Linked DNA regions of Drosophila melanogaster. The protein of the gene in region 2 interacts with the protein of the main gene of each other region in a pairwise test. Each region holds a gene or a part of one and is shown on either strand. Other genes may lie near its edges.

The links.
Region 1: the proteins of dan (region 2) and dac interact in a two-hybrid assay, tested with the Drosophila melanogaster proteins (one study listed by BioGRID).

What each region holds. Positions count from the first base shown.
Region 1 is NT_033779.5:16,482,680-16,487,723, forward strand, and holds the start of dac (dachshund), read right to left. Parts: upstream 3,320-5,044; 5' UTR 2,758-3,319; intron 2,129-2,757; 5' UTR 2,064-2,128; coding exon 1,129-2,063; intron 1-1,128.
Region 2 is NT_033777.3:25,182,562-25,187,456, reverse strand, and holds the start of dan (distal antenna), read right to left. Parts: upstream 3,075-4,895; 5' UTR 2,028-3,074; intron 1-2,027. UniProt on the Drosophila melanogaster protein: Probable transcription factor with a role in the retinal determination (RD) network. Regulates ato expression and is required for normal R8 induction and differentiation.

The DNA.
Region 1 (5,044 bases), on a different chromosome or scaffold from region 2:
GAAATATTTGGATCTCCTGGGGATCAATCGGAATATTAGCCTTTAATTGTGTTGATCTTTTAAGCCTTTTTGTATCTAATCTAAGCCATTCGATCTAATCACAATTTATAAATATCTGCATATTTCTGTATAAGTCTGCATCATTTGACGTAACTCTTTAAGTCTTTTGGCTTAAGTTGCAACTATAAGGAAGTATTTATTTTAGAGACACAAATATTTCAGTCGCCTTCATTTGAACAAATCGGCGAAAATTGGCTAGCTCGCCAAACTTTCTGTAACCAAGGACAATGGTTTTATTTTAAACCATTAAAAACTTTAGACCCACTAGCTCCTAGATCCCCCTCAAAAGATTTAAAAAAAAAAAACACGATACCCATTTCTACTGAACTTCGTTTTTGCTTGTCGTTTTTTCCACTCGAACGGAAATGAGCTGACAGCGCACCGCACACGTCGATTGCAGAAAAACATCGGATAAAACAGGAGGAAAAGTTGTGCAAGGTGGAAAACTGTTTTACCAACTATTGTTAGAGGCGTTCAAAAGAATTACGCAGCTTTCGGTTAGTTAGCAAGGGGTCACCGGGGAGCGTTACGTTTGCATTGCGTATTTCCGCTAAATGTCATCGGAAAAGGCAAACGGCGAAATGCGAAACGAAAGTTTTTTGATTGCCCGTGTTAATCGATATCGATGCACAAACTATTTGCATTGCAACCGTTGCAAGAATATGCAAGAAGTTGGGGGCGGCCGCGGCAGGGGGTGGAAGTTGAGTGCGTAAGTTGGCTAAAGCGGAAACAGGAAATGAGAAAATTTTGCAGAGCAAACCCCGAACTGGAAATGCAACTAACTGGGCACATGCACTTTGCGAAATCATTGGATAGCGTTAAGAAATTTATTTTAAAATTGTAACTAACATTTAATCGTATTCAAAAGCAATTAAATCCCAATCCAATTCTTATATAAAATCCTTACAAGATTATTCTATTTACTGTAAATCTAAGCAAAAACTCCCTTTGCAAAATATTCGCCTGCACAGCACAGATCAGTGAAATAATCAAATGAAGTCTTGAAATAACGAAAAACCCCCAATTGCGTGTGGAACTGCCCCCAATGCTTTTGCTTCGGTTTCGTACCTGGCCGTGGTGCAGTCCCTGTAGAGGATGTCGAAGTCCTTGCAGCAGAGCAACTTGCAGCGATTGACGCCCGGCTGGATGGCGCCCAAGCCGCGTAATATGCGCACCTGTTCCACATTGCAGACGAGCGGTACGATGTCAAGGCGCTTTAGTTTGGTATAAACCGTATGCAGACCGCCGACCAAGTGCTTCAGGAAGAGCTCGAAGGCCTGCGGCAGGCAGAGCATCGTTTCGTTGCTAATTATGAATGCGGCGACCTTCTGACCCCGGTACTCCACCAGCTTGCACTCATTGGCACTGGGATCCGAGGTGGAGATCGGCGGCGGTGAGTTGTACGACCTTGGCGGCACATGGTGATGGGCGGCGGCCATCAGTTCCAAGGGGGAGGCATGGTGCATCATCTGCAGGGAGTTGAGGAGCCCCAGCGAATGGGGCGGCAGTCCATGGGGCATTCTGGGCGGTAGGCCCGTCGGCAGTCCGTTGCCCGATGGCATTCCATGTGGCGGGGGGCTGAGCTGATGGTGTTGCTGCTGCTGCTGTTGCTGCTGCTGTTGTTGCTGCTGTTGCTGCATCTGCTGCATCATGGAGTGGTTGAGGGAGCTCACCGGACTGACGGCACTGGGATGGCGACTTGGTGAACTGGCCGGTGAGCAACTGGATCCTCGTCCTGTGTGCGAGCTCCGTCCATTTGGACGATCCTCGTTGGCTCCACGCGAACTGTTGCTACCGTCGCGTCCATTGTGCTGCTGCTGTTGCTGCTGGGCTGCTGCGGCTGCCGCTGCTGCGGCTGCCTGCTGCTGCTGCTGGTGATGCATCAACATGGCGGTGGTGTTCATATTGCCCGCGGCTCTTTCAATACCACTATTAATATTGTTATTTATTGCGCCCGCTTTATTGTTGTTATTTTCACTCTGTTCACTTGTCACAGAATCCATACTTCATCATGGCCGACACTTTTGTTTATTTACTTTTTAATCGATTCGTTAATTTGACGTTTTTTCTATCGTGACAAAAATTTGACACAAAGTAAGGGAGAAATAGAAAATAGATGGTGAGAGGAAGATAAATAATTAATGAACTCTTAATTCATTTTTAATTATTTATTAGGCTTCTATATGCAAATTCTAAGTGAGCGTGTCTCGTATATTCCTATCCGCTTATTATTGGCTTTACATTTTTAATACTTCTGTAAGTTTTATAACATCAAATTTAAATGCAGACCTTCAAAAAATTTACAAACGATTTAGGATTTGTATTAGGCTCAGCTATGCTCCTATTTATTAAAATCTATTTTTGAGCCAGTTTAGTTAGTTATATGGTAGCTACAAGTTTATATTGCTAAATATTTTTTGTAAATTAATATCCTAACAAACATTTTACTTACAAAGAAATATAGAGAACTAACAGAAAATAGAAAAGTTTCCTTTCAGACATTTAAAGTCCGATTATCTTCTAATACCCCCCATAAATAATCCTTTATCAACAGAACTATTGCTTTGCAAACTTTGCTTTAATTAAGTTTTGGGAAAAACAAGGCAATGAAGCTAATTTGGATCCTTACTGCCAATTTGCATAAATATACCTATTGTCAGCTTTATTTGAATAATTCGATATAGAACATAGATTTACCTTTAAGGAGGTCTAAAAGTAATTTATAAACTCAACATCACTGACACAAGACACTCGCGCACTTTGCTTTTTGAATTTCGCTGTGAAATATATACTCTGAATATTTCAAGTTATTTATTCCGATTGCCCGCTTGTGTTAATCGAGTTCGAATAACCGTTTTCGTACTGGAATTTTGGAAACCGGAGCTGTGTCCGTTTTCGAGTACCGTACCGACGGATTGTCACTCAGAGATTGAGAGATGGCAGCTACTCCGCTGCGACGGCGACGGTGGCGTCGCTGCCTCTGCTTCTTCGCCTTCGACTGGTTCCTCTTCCCCCTCTCGTTCGGAGAAATCAACGAAACGAATTGCATTCGAATGGGAATCGACTGAGAGCGAGACGGCGCGAGGCGACGACTGCGAGTGAGCGAGTGAGCGGGCGCTAACGAGTGCTATTTTTTTAGCCCACCCACACACACGTACGTACGTACGTACACACGAAGCGCTACCGTTATGTACTGAGAGAAATGCGCGCGCAAAAGTTTTATTGCATTACCTTCTCTTGCGAATGACAAATTCGTAATGAAAGGCGAGTTTCAATTCGATTCCTTTCGGATTTTCGTGGCAGCGACGCCGGCAGCGCGGTCGGCCGAGACGAGTGTGCTTGTATGTGTGTGTCTGTGCCTGTGAGAGCGAGCTGGTGTATCTGTATCTGCGATTGTGCAAAACCAGAATACGAATACGAGTACGAATACGAATGTCTGTTGCCCGTCCACGTCTCGCATTACACCAATACCAGGCCAAAAAGGGGAGTGGTATGTGCGATTGATCGGTGTGTTTGCATCTGTGTATATTTCTGTGTGCAACCCCGAAAATACAATGACAAACGTAATCGCTCTCTCTCTCTTGCATTCGTTTTATTTATTTTTTCAATTCGTTTGTGCGTGTTGTGTTCTTCAAATCCTCCCGCTCTCTCTCTTTGGAAAAAAAAACGTTTTTCATTTCAATTTCATTTCGTTTCAGTCTGAGCCCTCTCTCTCACACCATCTCGCCATCTCTGTCGCACGCTCAGGTGGGCTGCAACCAATAAACACGAGCGAGCGAGAAAGCAGCATATTTGCATAGCCAGTCGTACATGTTTGCGCTCTCGCTCGCCCCCATGGGCGACGCCTTATATAAACAAATGACAATTGTTTTGGCATTTTGTGTTGCAAAGTAAATTATAATAAATGCATTGCCAGAGAAGAAAAGTAAAAAAAAATAGCTTTACTTCGAGTTTGCGCAGCTGTCTTTGACAAAAAGCATTTTAATTTCAATTAAAAGTAAATGACAAACTTTCAACGAATTATACTTTTCGGGGCAGTGTTGCTATCTCTTTCCGTCCCAAGCTTTGATTTTTTTTGTCAACCGTTTTCCGTTTCCCATTCGTTTCCATTCGAGTCCCGTTTATTTGTATTTCTTTTTGTGTTGCTGATTCGGAGGAGAGCAGCACTATGGCAGGGCATCTTTCTTCCACTTACACATATTGCGATAATGGGGTTTTTTTTCGCCTGAGGGGCGTTCGTTTTTCGGGTTCTTATAAATAGCATTGCTTATAAATTCTGGCATCGCACCTTTGCCACCTCTATATGTTTATGTACAATGTATCTGAGAGCTCGGTCATTTTTCTATTATTTGTCTTCGTTTCGCCTTCTGCGATTCTTCTCCATAACGATTGCCATTCCGTCGCCGAACCAATCGCATTCCGTTCTCTCCATTTGAGAGTTCCATGTACATATTTCTTTCTATATGGGAATGGAATACGTCTTTATGTATTGTGTTTGCACATGACGTATGAATTTTTCTTGTTCGTTTCGTTTGGGGCTTTTCTTTTGTGGATTTCCTCACCCACTGTCTTTTAGGTGACAGCAACCATTTAATATTAAATTGATTGCAAATGTGGATTTCCAACAGCTTTTAGAAAATATTTTCGGGCTTTAAAGAAGAATTTAAAACACAATAATTATTGTAATGTAAATATTTTATTTTTACATCGGTTTGTTTCATTAAAAAATAGTTATAAGATTATATTAGATATGAAAATTAATATGTAACGCTACTTTTTTTCTAAACTGTGACATTTTAGGCTATTTTTTCTTTTACCATTTCCTTATGTCATATGAATTTCATTTAATTATGACATATACATGAATCGCTGGCTTTAAATTCGAATAAGTACATTAAATTTACCAAAAATGACATGCAGAATTAAAAAGTATTCATTCAAACAAATTTGTTTTCCCCCCATAAATGGACAACAAAAAGGTACT
Region 2 (4,895 bases):
GGACAGTGAGAAGTGTGTAAAAAATCTAGTAACAACAGAAAAAGATGAAAGAAATAAATATAAAAGAATTACACCAAGTTTGTCAGTGTGTGTGTGAGTGAGTGTGTGTGGAAGGGGCCCGTCTGTGTCTGATGTTGCTGCTGTGCACACATGCACACTCACACACCCGAACACTTACACACACCTAGTCAGGACAGGACATATGTATGCCGGAATGGCCATACCCGTCAGTATGTCTGTAATGGCCAACCGTCTGGCCATTTCATCGTACACGTGAGTGTGTATGTGTGTGTGTGTGTGGGCTAAGAGCTTCTGATTTTCCTATATACAATTATAATTTTATTGTATTTACTATTTTTTTCGTTTCTTTGGCTTCGTATTGAACTCACTCACAGACACAGAGGGGCAATGCATGTGGCAATGTGGCAAGGACACCAAGGAGGGTCAAATGGGATGGGTCGGGATGAGCGAGGCGGGGGGAGGGGCAAGCGAAGGGGGGCAGGAGAGTCTGGCAAATGGAGGTCAACGACTGAAACTAGTACTAATATGTGCAAGCGTTTGATAGCTCCATTCGTTTGTGCTAATGCAGAAAGAAATAAAACACAAAAACGAGGCAACACATAAAAATAAGAATTCCGTAGATAAAAGAAAAAGTTGCTTTGGTCCAAACCCAATCGTGTGTTAGTGTGTGTGTGTCTGGGATGTCTGGGATGCTTCCCTCACCGCAGTTAAGTGTGTGCAAATAAACCATGTGTCTGCTGTAATGTTGGACCTGTTGGCACCAATGATCTATGTGGCTTTAAGCACTATTGCACCTTTTTTATTGTGTGTTTTCGTTTATGATTAGCCCGATTAATGTTGTGTCGGCATTTCGCAGTGGAACGAATTTATTAATTGTCGGGGGATTCAATATGAACTTTATCAAATTATCTAACTATGGTCTCATGTATGGGCAATACTATTTTAAACAATGAATCGATTTTCAGAATTACAGTTATATAATAAATAAATAAAAATATGTAAATCCTTTGATAATTTTCCTAGTGTTGAAATATCAGTGATGTTATGAATGATGTTGTTTTACAACACTGAAATGCTAATGATGTACGAGAAAAATATAATTATAAATAAAATAAAAAATAAGAAAGATAATAATAAGCAACTTTATTAAATACTTTCTAATTTATAAAACAAGATGAGAATAGTGACACAGAAGCGTTCAACAACTAAACGGATAGGAAAATAACTTTTTACCATAAATACAATCAAAAAGTATTGCATACATTAAGGGGCCAATAAAACCGGTTTCCTGTGTTTGTTAATATTGCAATTCAATATAAACTTGGTAGATAAAGGAAATCTAACTAAAACTCTTTAGTTATATAAAATTTACATTTTTTCAAGCTTATTTTACAAACCAAGTATCATATGGACAAAGTAATATTTGAATCTAAACTCGGAGGTAAAAAAATTAAATAAAAAATTAAAAATATTAATTTTTGATGGAAAGCAAATTTAAGTAATTGCTAACGCAGTGTTAGGAGGTAAATAATAAAATTACATAAGATATTAATGTTATACACAATATCTATCACTCCTGAATATTATTATAAATAAATATGAATAAATACTTTCTCGTAAAATATTTCCTGCTCTTTTGTATAAAAAAGTTGTTAAGTTGTTATTTGAAGGACCTACTAAGATTTGTACTTATTAATTTATAAAATGTGGCAACTATTCAAATACACAAAGAACTGCACTTATATTGTTTTCCAAATTGTGTAAAAATAATTCGTTTTTGTTATGTAGAAAGGTAAACAATAAATCTTCAAAACTAATCTCTCGAAAAACTTTTTATGTTTGGTTTCCGATTTAAATAAATATTTTTTGATTATTTAATATTTTTTCTTGTGTCACCAATTCTTCAAGTTGTGTTTAAAACACTCAGTTAACTGTTATTAATTAATGCAGAACTAACAATTACACTTTACGGATTGCTCAATTCACCGGTGAAATCAAATACTAACCTTTTAGTTATCTTCCGGGGGCGAAAATGGATCGGTGCCTTCTTCCAGCGAAGGCGGGAGAAATTCGGTGATAGCGCAACTATTTGCAGCAGTTAAATTATTCTTATCTCGACCGGCGATGTTTTTAAATCACTTTACTTATAGTTCACATGGATTTGAATTTATTGTTTTCAGTTAATGTTGTTGTTCATTTGAAAGTATAACATCACTCGGTCAATCACAATCGAACACTGTGCTCGCGATGCGGCGTGATGTTTACCGCTGCTGTGGCGTGCGAATTTTAGCGGCAGGACATGCGGTGCGGTGCGGTGCGACCTCTCTCTCGCGCTCGTCGAAGGATATTGTGATATTGTGACGCTGCGTCGCTGTGACGTGGATGTGCGAACCTGAGCGGCTAGCGTGCGGCGACAAACTACCGCGGCGGACTTGAGTGAATTTTGATTTTAGCGCGGCGAATTTCCGCACGGCGACGACGGCGGCGACGTCACGGGAAATTTAAAGTCGCACGTCCACGAAATGCGGCGTTTCGTTCTCACTCACATACACAAGCACACTCGCAGATATATGCGTCCTGCAGTGGTGGTTGTGTGCTGGTCAGTTGGTCTGCCTTGGTATTAGTAGTTTTGTAGTTGTCGTTTTTGTTTCTTTCACGTGTGCGTGAGTCGCTCTCTCTCGCTCCCTCTCTCGGACTCTCTTTCGCCCGCTCTCTTTCGCTCTCACTGTTGCGAAATTCGCGGCCTTTTTCGGTGACAGCCAAATGTACAATGATTAATAACGGTCAAGACGGCGGCGAAGAAGTCCTCTCGCTTTGGCTGCCCCGTTCGCAATATTCGCATTTTGGCATTTTCGCATTTTGGCCGGCCCAACCACAGGCCAGTGTCCACTCACACACACACATATCGAGCACACATACTAACACAGCACATCCTCCCACACACACACACACACACGTGCGGACACACAGCTGTGTGCAACGAAGACGACGCAATACTCGTGCTAGGCTTTTTGAGATTGAGAGACGCACATCCTTTTCGGCCTCCTTTCTTGCGCCCACGTGTGTGTGTGAGCACAGAGAGAAAAATCTTGATACCTTAGTAAAGATAATGTTATTAAATTTGGTAAGAATTCGAAATTTAGTATAATAATTTAGCAATTTTGTATCTCTTAGTTATGTACATATATTCCATGATTATAACTATGAAAATGAAATTTCATACAAATAAACGAATAGATGATACGATCGCTTGTGATGAAAAGTATATATTACTTTTCTGCCAAGCTTATATTTCCTTGTATTCTGTATTAGTTTTAGGTAAAATCTAGATTTTTTCCAGTGTAAGACTGTGTGCAACCTCAGGAGGCATTTGCTTGCGTTTAGCTAAGCCATTTTCTGCTTCCTTAAACGCTGGGCAACAACTATCAAACGAGCAACGGATCTGCGAGAAGAACGTGAAAAACCTAGCCGAAATCCCTGTCTAATTTTCGCAGTAGGGGGTGCGCCTTTTATCGTCACTGATAATTCTGCTAGTTTTCCCGCTGTCATGTGCTGCAGTTGTTGCTGTTGTGATTGCGGCCAGTTTTCCTCGCTTTGTTTTGATACATGCCTTCATCGCAGATTACGTGGGCTCGCCTCTCTTTCGCGACCGTTTCGCAAAGAGCTGAGGCAAATGAGAACCGAACATCCTCTTCCTTAAGAGAGAGAGAGAGAGAGAGGGAGAGAGCCAGTGAGAGAGCAGCTTTCGTCCTCGTCTTCGGCTTTTTGCCGCCCGAACCGAACGAAGTTATGACGGCAGGAGGTGGTGACCCCACGGGGAAACCCCCCTTGGGAAACCCACATTCTTGAAAACAAGGCGAATCCGTCCAACAGAGTGGCTTTCTTGGCTCTTTTCGTCGCTCTTTTCGCTGGAGCGTGACCGGCGATCGCCGAAGGAACCGGAATTCTCGAACGGACACTCGATCGCAAAGATATGGGCATGACATAGTGGTTGTTTCTCCATCGACTTTTGCAGGCAAATTGCTGCGGTTTAGAAATGTCAGATGGCGAAATAATCGAATTCAAATTGTGGGACAAGAAACTAATCAGCTGCAAATTTCAGGTGATAGCCAGCTTCAAAATATGTATTTCCCATATTTAGCTACCAAGAATAATATAATTGTAGTGTATATAGGTAGGCAGGACAATAACTTATGTTTTCCATTAAAGTGCCGACATATTCATACATATTCATATACTTAGTGCACAACATATTCAATGCTTGGTATACACCAATGTTTAACATGGTTACGCATTAAGATGTTTAGGTTCCTTGTAATATTAATTACCGAGCTGATAAGCTCTAGGTAGGAATAAAAAACCATGTTAAATAGATTGTTGATATCATTCCCAAGCAAGTTTCAAGTCAAAGTGTATTTTGATTAGTTCTGCGAGAGAAGAAAAACCTGACAAGTATTTGCACCATCGTGGGATAGCCCCGAGATTACGATCTTATATAATGCGTGTGTACACATAGGCATTTTGAGGTCGTAGACTTAGTAGTTGCTATGCAAAACATTTGCGCAGAGCACACACACAATCGCACATACATAGCTCCCTATTTCCCTATTGTATCTGGCCAACGAAGGCGGCCACTGACCATAATAACAACAACGGCAACGAAAAAGACAGCAGCAGTGTCGCCAGAGTTGCTAGTTGCTGCCTTTCGGGAAATCGCTAAGAAAGGTTTTTGAATCCATGTCCGAAACGCACAATCACACGTACACGCACAGCCACACGCACACGAAAACACAGGCCCAAGGATATAGTGTAGTCGTACATATAAGTAGAGGCGTATACACAACAAGGAGCAACAATAACGCAGGACTACGGAA